Cricetulus griseus: one gene and its partner. The protein of the gene in region 2 interacts with the protein of the main gene of each other region in a pairwise test. Links are inferred from orthologs where the notes say so. Each region holds a gene or a part of one and is shown on either strand. Other genes may lie near its edges.

Evidence for each region.
Region 1: the proteins of E3 ubiquitin-protein ligase TRIM32 (region 2) and Scgb1a1 interact in binary tests that used the Homo sapiens proteins (3 or more experiments, as listed by UniProt). The two-hybrid records come from large-scale screens. The link is inferred for Cricetulus griseus from reciprocal best matches to the Homo sapiens genes TRIM32 and SCGB1A1.

What each region holds. Positions count from the first base shown.
Region 1 is NC_048596.1:51,011,227-51,015,411, reverse strand, and holds the start of Scgb1a1 (uteroglobin), read right to left. Parts: upstream 2,801-4,185; coding exon 2,746-2,800; intron 729-2,745; coding exon 541-728; intron 1-540. UniProt on the Homo sapiens protein: Binds phosphatidylcholine, phosphatidylinositol, polychlorinated biphenyls (PCB) and weakly progesterone, potent inhibitor of phospholipase A2.
Region 2 is NC_048595.1:80,217,887-80,222,009, reverse strand, and holds the start of E3 ubiquitin-protein ligase TRIM32, read left to right. Parts: upstream 1-1,323; 5' UTR 1,324-1,387; intron 1,388-4,123. UniProt on the Homo sapiens protein: E3 ubiquitin ligase that plays a role in various biological processes including neural stem cell differentiation, innate immunity, inflammatory resonse and autophagy.

The DNA of each region.
Region 1 (4,185 bases), on a different chromosome or scaffold from region 2:
AAATGACTTAGCTATAAATGCTCCTGCCATCAAAGCTGACCACCTGAGTTTAATCCACAGGACCCACATGGTGGAAGGAGAGAACCAATTCCTTAAAGACTGTCCTCTGACCTTCATGTGTGTGCGTGTGTGTGTGTGTGTGTGTGTGTGTGTGTGCGTGTGCGTGTGCGTGTGTGCACGTGCGTGCATGCGTGCGTGCGTGCGTGCGTGCGTGCGTGCGTGCGTGCGTGCGTGCGTGTGTGTGTGTGTGTGTGTGTGTGTGTGCGTGTGTGTGTGTGTGTGAGCTGGTATAGTCCCAGCTACTCAGGAGGCTGAGGAAGGAAGAACACTTGACCCCAGGAGTTTTAGGACAGTGAGGCTAGCTCAGAGAGAACCCCCCACCCAAAACAAACACACACACACACACACACACACACACACGCACAAGAAGGCGGCAAGGGACATGACAGGGATATCCATTAGCCTTGTAACTCCCCAAATAGTATGAAACTGTAGTTGGGGAACCATTTAGAAGCAACGTGAGTGACGGACGTTCCATACCGAGAGTTTCATGATGTTCATTCTGGTCTTCTGGGGGAGGGTGTCCACCAGCTTCTTCAACTGGATCCCTGAGTTTTGCAGGTCTGAGCCAGGGTTGTAAAACTTCAGGGCTGCCTCATAACTGGACTCTGAGCCCATGAAGAGGAACTCAAGGACTTGAAAAAATCCTGGGCAGGTGTCTGAAGAAGCTGGGGTGCGGGCAAAAGAAAGCACATGGACCAGCTTCTCTAAAAGCTGGCCAGCACCCTGCTGGACCAGTCAGTCTGGTCAGCAAGACATAGCAGCCTTTGGGTGATGGAACAGAATGGTGGGGCTCCAAGTGTGGAAATCTGGTACCATGTGAACACTTTCTAGGTTACAGCCAGCTTTTGCCTTTCCTGAGCCGCCTTTCCGTTCCTGACTTGGGTTGGCCACGGTTTTTGTCATCTTTCTAGACACAGTGGGTAACAGAAGCTGCCAGCCTGGCTGTTTGCTGCAGCATGGGGACTGGGAGGAGGCCTCTGGGAGCCTTGCTTTCTATCAGAATGCTCCTACCCACAGCTAGTGGTGGTCTGTGCCATGAGTTACTGAGGGCGTACGGCACAGCCCTTATGCGAATCCAGCGTGGTCCCCAAACCTGGCCTGGAAGATGGAAGCACATATGTATTCTAGTCTGATGGCACAGTCAGTTTGCAGACAAGCCTCTCATCTCACCATGTTCCCTGCAAGGGGGTGCTGTTTGGATTGTGCTATCTCCTGGGATTTCCTACCCTGTTTGCCTCCATCTTCTAACCTAGCCTCAGATTTCCTGCCCTGGAATTCTCTGCATTGTGTGCAAATTTGGCCTCACTGCTTTGACTCAGGACCTGACCCCTATTCCAGTGGCCACTCCAGTAGCTCACATTTGTTACATAACTCATAGCACTGGGCAGGCTAAGGCAGGATGACTGTGAATTCAGACCAAAATGAGACCCTGTCTCAAAACCAAAACACTGGTCACTCCAACTTAAAACTTTCTCCATAATGTCACCAGGCAGGGTGTTTCATTTTCCAGGGGCTCAGTTTTCTAATCTGTAAAATGGGAACAACATCTCTGCTTCATTGGGTTGTTATGAAAATGAAAGGGATAGTCTGTAAAATGGCTGAGCGCAGTGACTAGCACGTTGTAAGTAGCATTAACTAGTTTTACTGTCAGAGTTTTAATATGTGAACACATTGCTATGCAAATATCTTGCCAGTCCACCCCTTCACATGTTTTAGCCCTGTCTTGCTGAGCCACCCACCTCTGTGCACAGCACCGATATCTAATTAATAAACATTTTAATCCAAAATGATGTCATTTCCCCTGAAAACAAAAAAGTGTTCAATAAAAACAGCCACTCCCATTTTGCCTTGATTTGGGGTCTAAATCTCCTTGGTCATAAAGCCTGTATCCACGGACATTATGAACCTTTTCAAAGACATTAATTAGGGTTTGTTTTTAGGAAAATAATACAGCATTATCAGAGAGGAGAGGGGGAAACTGATGGTGGGAGAAGTTTTCCCAACCTCATTTCCGAAGCACAAAATTTGTGGAGGGAGATAGATTGCCCTTCCCTACCTCCCTCCCTCCCTCCCTTCTTTCCTTCTGTTCCTTCCTCCCTCTTTCATTTCTCACTCCTTTCTTCACAGTGATAGCAACAACTATCCTCAGAGGCCTCTGATCCTTTTTTCCAGAGGACAGAATGTTTAGAAAACTCCACCCAGGATTGGCAGTTTCCCAAAGGGAAGATCTCTTTCTGGAATATTCCTTTCCTCCCAGAGCAAGAGACTTGGCCTTGGGTTAGAGGGCAAGAGTCTCTGTACTTTCCCTTCCAGACTGACTGCCAGAGTTGGGTGGGGACGCCCCCTAACCTGGAGGCTGTTTCAAGAGCTCTTGGCATCTTGAGCCACTGGGCTTCAAAGGGTTCCTTATCCCTACTCCATTTTTGGGTAGATGTACTGGTTTAGATGGGCACTCCTTATCTCCTGTCCAGGCCTCCCTGGTCCCTGCAGTGCCAGGGTTCAGGATTTGGAAGGTGTGATTCTAAACTTTCTAATAGCTCAACACTTCCCCCCAAGATCACAGAATAGTGTTGGTCATCAGACTCAACATTTCTGAGAGTCATCATACCCAGGCCCTCCAGGTAGCCATAGAGGGACTGGCCACTTCCTTCTGTCTTTGGGAGAGGGACCCTGGGCTCTCACCTGAGATGCAGCAGATGGATAGCATGGCAACAGTGATTGTGATGGCAATCTTCATGGTGGAATCTGGGAGTCTTGGCTGTCTCTGGATGTGGGGTGGTATTGTAGTGTGTGTGAGTGTGTGAGGGTATCAGGTGGCCTTTTATATGTTCCAGGAAGCCCATAAGAGGTAGGGGGCAGGGCTTGGGTACCACTTAGGATACTGCATTATTTACTTGGTTACCTTCTCTGTGGAATAAGTAAATAATCTCTTTTCTTAAATCCAGTTTCTGTTCCCATTGAAACTGAGCTCACACAACAAGACACTTTTGGGGTGTCCATGCAGTGGGGGGAGCCCAAGTCAGAGGTTGTGGGGATCTGGACACCTGTGTCCTCTTTTTGAAGTCAAGCACTGGGTACCCCAGGCTCTAGGAAGCAACTGTAGACTTGCCAACCTTGGCAAACCAGAGACTGGCAGCAAAGACCCAGGACTCTAAAATGTCACTGCGCTCCTTCTATTGCCTCCCTCCAAGGAAAGTGGCTTGACTTTTTTTTTTCTTTTCTTTTCTTTTTTTTTTTTTGGTTTTTCAAGACAGGGTTTCTCTGTGTAGCTTTGGAGTGGCTTGACTTTAAGCCACAAAGCTCACTTGATTCTTGGGTGTCATTGGTCAGGTTAGATTCTGTATACAGTAGATGTGGACAAATGAAGACTTCTCCATAGTATACATCAGAGACCTAGGCCCAGATCAGGCTTGGTCTGTTCCTACCCAGCCCCATCCTTCTGATGGCCAGTTGAGGGGCACCTTCAGTCTTTATCTGACTTGACCTCTTCCTGGCCTTTACCCTATAGCCTCCTCCCTTTTGCTCCATTCTCTCCCAGGGCCTCCCACACTCTGCATTTTCCTGTTTTCCTTCCTTGGCTATTCTTTCTTGATGTTGACAGTTCTCAAGTGTTAGTAGTTCCCAGGCTTTAACCTTAGCCTCCTTGCTTCCCATGCTCTCTGTTTACTCTTTTACATCTCCAGTGCTCTTGTTGACTTAGCATGGAACCTCGCTTGGTTGAAATCCACATCTTCTGTCTTTGCTTCCCAGCCTTTCCCATTTCCACAAATCCTATTCAGACTTCCAGGTTGCCTCAAGTGTTCATCCATCCACCCAGTCAATAGATACCCGGTACCCACTATGGTGTGGTGGGGCTGGGAATTGGGGAAGACCTGGAGAGGAGTTTAAAGGGCCCACTCATGATCTTCCTGCCTAGTGGCTGTGAGGAATGTGGATATCTGAGAGCCTTCAGCTTCCAGTAACTGCAGGGTCTGCCCCTGCTACAGAGGTTGCCTTGCTTAAGGTCCCACCTTCCCCAGGGCCATTTGCATCGAATGATACAACAGAAAGGGGATTTAAAGCTGTGAGAATTTTGGTTTGCCTGTTTCCCAGTGACTCTGGGCCATTAGGATGCACTTTTCT
Region 2 (4,123 bases):
CTTTGGGCAAGTCTGTGGGGGCATTTCCCTGATTTATGATTGATATGGGCAGTGCCACCCCTAGGCAGATAGTCCTAGGAGAAAGGTAGGTGACCACAAACCTAATGAGCAAGCTATAAACAGCATTCCTTTGATCTCTGCTTTTGTTCCTGTCTCCAAGTTCCTGGCCTTCATGAGTTTCTGCCTTGGCTTCCCTCAATGATGGTCTGGGATTAGGATGTGTAAAGCAGATAAACCCTGTCCTCTCCAAATTGTTTTTAGCCATGGTCATTGACAGAGCAGTACACAGCAAACTAGAATAGGGCCCAAGCTGCCTTTACACTGTTACTTCTCCTTGCTCATTCTCCCAAGTGCTAGGTTGTCAAGATTGTGCCACTATGCCCAGTTGATTGTAATCTATTTTAACTTAAAGTTAACGTTAATAAAGTGTGAATCACACACAACTTCAATCAATCATCACAACAACCCTTGACTTTACTTAGAGATAAAGAAATAGAAAGATTAAAACAAGGTTAAGGGTGCTTTCTAACAGTGGTATTGAAACCCAGGTTCTGACAGGTTGTTTTGGCATCTAACCCTCAGTTTCTTTATCTCAGGGCTGTTATGAGGGCTGGACTAAGCCTGTAAAGTGCTTAGCTGTAGTTAGTCAGAAAGTGCTCAAAGATATTACTGTTTTTGTTTATTGTCTTAACGTTGTGCTGGGGGCACACAGCTTGGTGGAATTTTAAATATGGAGACATAATATCTTAGATTCCTTCAGACTCCTAACTAGTAATGCGTGTTCACGTCCTGGAGCAGGCATTACCTGTCCCCAAACTATCTGCAGCAAGTCCTGGCTAGTCAGTGGGCCACAAAACCTCCCGCAAGACAAGGTTCAGTGCAGGGCTTTGCCCGTTTCTACCTCGGCTGCTCGCCTCCAGGATACTACTTCCTAAATGCAGTGTGTTCAGTGACTAGGCAGAGGGATGTGTCACAGGCAAAATTACCTAGCTCCAGGACCAGCTCTTTGAAAGGAGTGTGTTGTCTTCCTGAACTGAGGTACAAAGAGGCGTTCCAGCTAGGTGCCCGGACTTTCTGTAGACTACTACTGGGAGATTAGCATTTACTGACCGGGTAAATTTCGACTCTGAGACAGGCAGAAAACTGGATCACACACCGCGGTGTCCTAGGTTTCCAGAGTCACCCCCTACCTCTTCAGCAGGGCCAAGAGCTCTGGGCCCGCGGGCCTACAAGCCCCAGCATGCCTCGGGGAGGCGGAGCACGGTGATGGACAGGCATTCCTGCGAATTGGCACCCGACGTGGGAAGTGCGCGCTGGCGCATGCGCAAAGGGCGGCGGGCGGGTGGGCTGGCTGCGGTGGACTCGCGTCGGAGCCGCGGGCGGTCAGGTAGGGGGAGGGAAGGAGGGTCTGCGACCAGGGACTGTGGTGGGTCGCGGGGCTCCAAGATTGAATGGCAGGATTTGGGGACTGGATCGGAGTGGCAGGACTGGATGGGGGAGGGACGGGCTTGGGAGAGATTCGGTGGGGTTGAGATGCAGCTGGGGGAGGGGAGCAAAGGGGCTGAGGAGATTTGCAGTTGCAGCATCTCGGGAGGTATGAGGTAATGTGGGGGCTGAGCGGAAAGACGGCGTAAAGCATGTGGGAGATCGGGGGTATCTGGAGTCCCTGGAGGGATCTGGGTGCAGAATATCAGAAATAGAAAGGAATTTGGGAGGCATGGATGAGATAGGTTGGGGGTTGGTGGGCAGAAGCTCAGAGGCTTTGAGGAGATGGTGGAATGGGAGCAAGATCTGAGGTCAAAACAGTCAGGGTCTTGGAAAAAATCTAATTGCTGAAGAAAAAGGCAATTCTGTAGTAGAATCTGGGAGAGATTTGAGGGGTGAGTTCCCAAGGAAATCAGTATCCAGTTAGCAAATCGCAAGCAAAGGCTTGAAGGCAACACGTGAGGCAAGACTAGGGTGGGTGAGGGTGGGGGTGGCACTGTGCAAGTCAGGGAGATGCAGATGAGGGCCCGGATTGAAGGAGGCTAGAAATCTGAGGTACAGTGTTGGAGTTTGGAGCTGGCATACAGGAGTGACAGATGTGGAAATTTGAAAATAGATTGAATAAAGGGTGTAACAGGGACCCAAAAGCAATTGGTGAAATGCAAGGTTGCAACATACAGTCTAGAAGGCTGAATTCTAGATTTGGGATTGAGGGTTGGGAATGGGGTTTGTAGAGGATTGAATGGTGGGGACTGAATGTTGTGACTAGATTGTAGTTTGTGAATTGGTTCTTAGGCTACTAAAGGAGGCTTTGTTTGTTTGTTTTTGGTCTCTGCATAATTGAACCCAGAAGGTGTTTGGGAGACCCAGGAACCTGAAAGTAATGTACAAATAAACTATGTATGAATGAATGGAATTTAGGAGAATGCAGAGGTTTGGGAATAAAGTCACGAGTCTTGAGAGATCCTGAAGGAGAGTTTGACATTCTCTGAAGGGCAGAGTCTTCCTTGTACTAAAAGCCCTTTGATCCTGAGACAGACATAGCATTCTCACTGACACTGACTAGCTTAACCTACTCCACGCAGACCTAACATTATAGGCCTTGTGGAAGAAGAGAGGGAGAGGAAGGGAATGAAGCCAGAAACTACCCAAGGTCTTCTGCTATCTGTCCCTTTCCCTGTGCCCCCAAGCTGTAAGAGATGTTTAAGCCCTCCAAGGTATTGAGTCAAATGATCTTGAACCTGACTTTATCTTATTTTAGAAGACCAGCTATGGCACAAAGAGGTAGTGGTTCTGTAAATGAAGTGTTAGGGCTGGGAGAGAAACAAAACAATGTCTGGGGAGCAAGGGAGAGCCTCACATGTGCTGAATATTTAGCCTAACTATGTCATAATCTAAAGCCTTGGTTCTCAGTCAGGGGTGATTTTCTTCTGCCAGAAAACATTTGACAGTGTCTGGATGGGTGCATTGTCCCATCCAGTTGAGGGGGGTGTGGCGGTTGTTAGTTTCTAGATAACAACCCCAACAGTTACCTAGCCAGAAATGCAAATGGAGGGACCTGGCTTCAGAGTCAGATATTCTGAGTTCGAATCCTGGCTCTTTCTCTTCCTGCTTTAGTCTTTAAAGAGTGACTTGACCTCTCAGTGCACTAGCTTTTTTGGGATCTACATCATAAGATTGTTGTGAGGACCAGTGAAATCAATCAGGGGGCTTACTGTCTAGTGCTCAGTAGGTGCTCAGAGTGTACTCCTGTAAAAACTAATAACAGTCCTGCTAAATATGCTTTATTATGTCCTGTGTTGCACATGAAACTAAGGCTTAGGAGGTCACCTGTCCAAGGCCATATAACTAAAAATGGCAAAAGTAAACTGACGTGTGGATACCCACCACAGTATATATCCTCCTTACTTGCTTCTTTGCTACAGCCTGCTTTGTCTTCCCCTTTCAGCCTTTTCTGATGAAAAGGAAGATTGCCCAGCATTCTAAAGCAGTGTGTTTCTTCTTGATCAGGAGAAACCCTGGGCACCCTGTTCTTGGCTTGCTCTTAGACCAGAACCAGTGGAGAGATAATGGAAGGGGCTTGGAGCTAGGCAAGGTGAGGTGTAAGGAGCTACAAACTGAGATGAAGAGGCCACTGGCTTGATAGAATGCCTCAGCGGGGCCTCAGGCTGAAGGCAGTCATGGACTGAAGGAGAGTTGCTACTACTCTGAATGGCCTCTTTTGTGTGTCTAGTCTCTGGAACAAAAGAGTAGTATTGTCTTTATCAGCTCCAAACCCAGCTACAACATTACTGAAGCCGGCTTTAAAAACAAAATTAGACTGGAGCTGAGGGCAGAAGACTTAACTGGATATTAGCACACATCACTTAGGAAAATACCTGATAGGGATTGAGTTAGCCTTGGAATCAGCTTTTTTACTGCTTGCTTGTTGGTGGTCCAGCATGTGTCAGCCTCTGTCCAAAAGCAGTCAGCTACATTGAGTGCTGACAAGCTAGACGTGATTCCTTATTTTATAGGTCAGAATGTTAAAAAGTTAAGTGACATATCTTCGTAAACTACAGAGCAAATGGTTAATCTGGCATGTAAACTCAGTTCTATTTGACTCCTAACTTCTACAATTCTAGTTTTAGAGATCTTC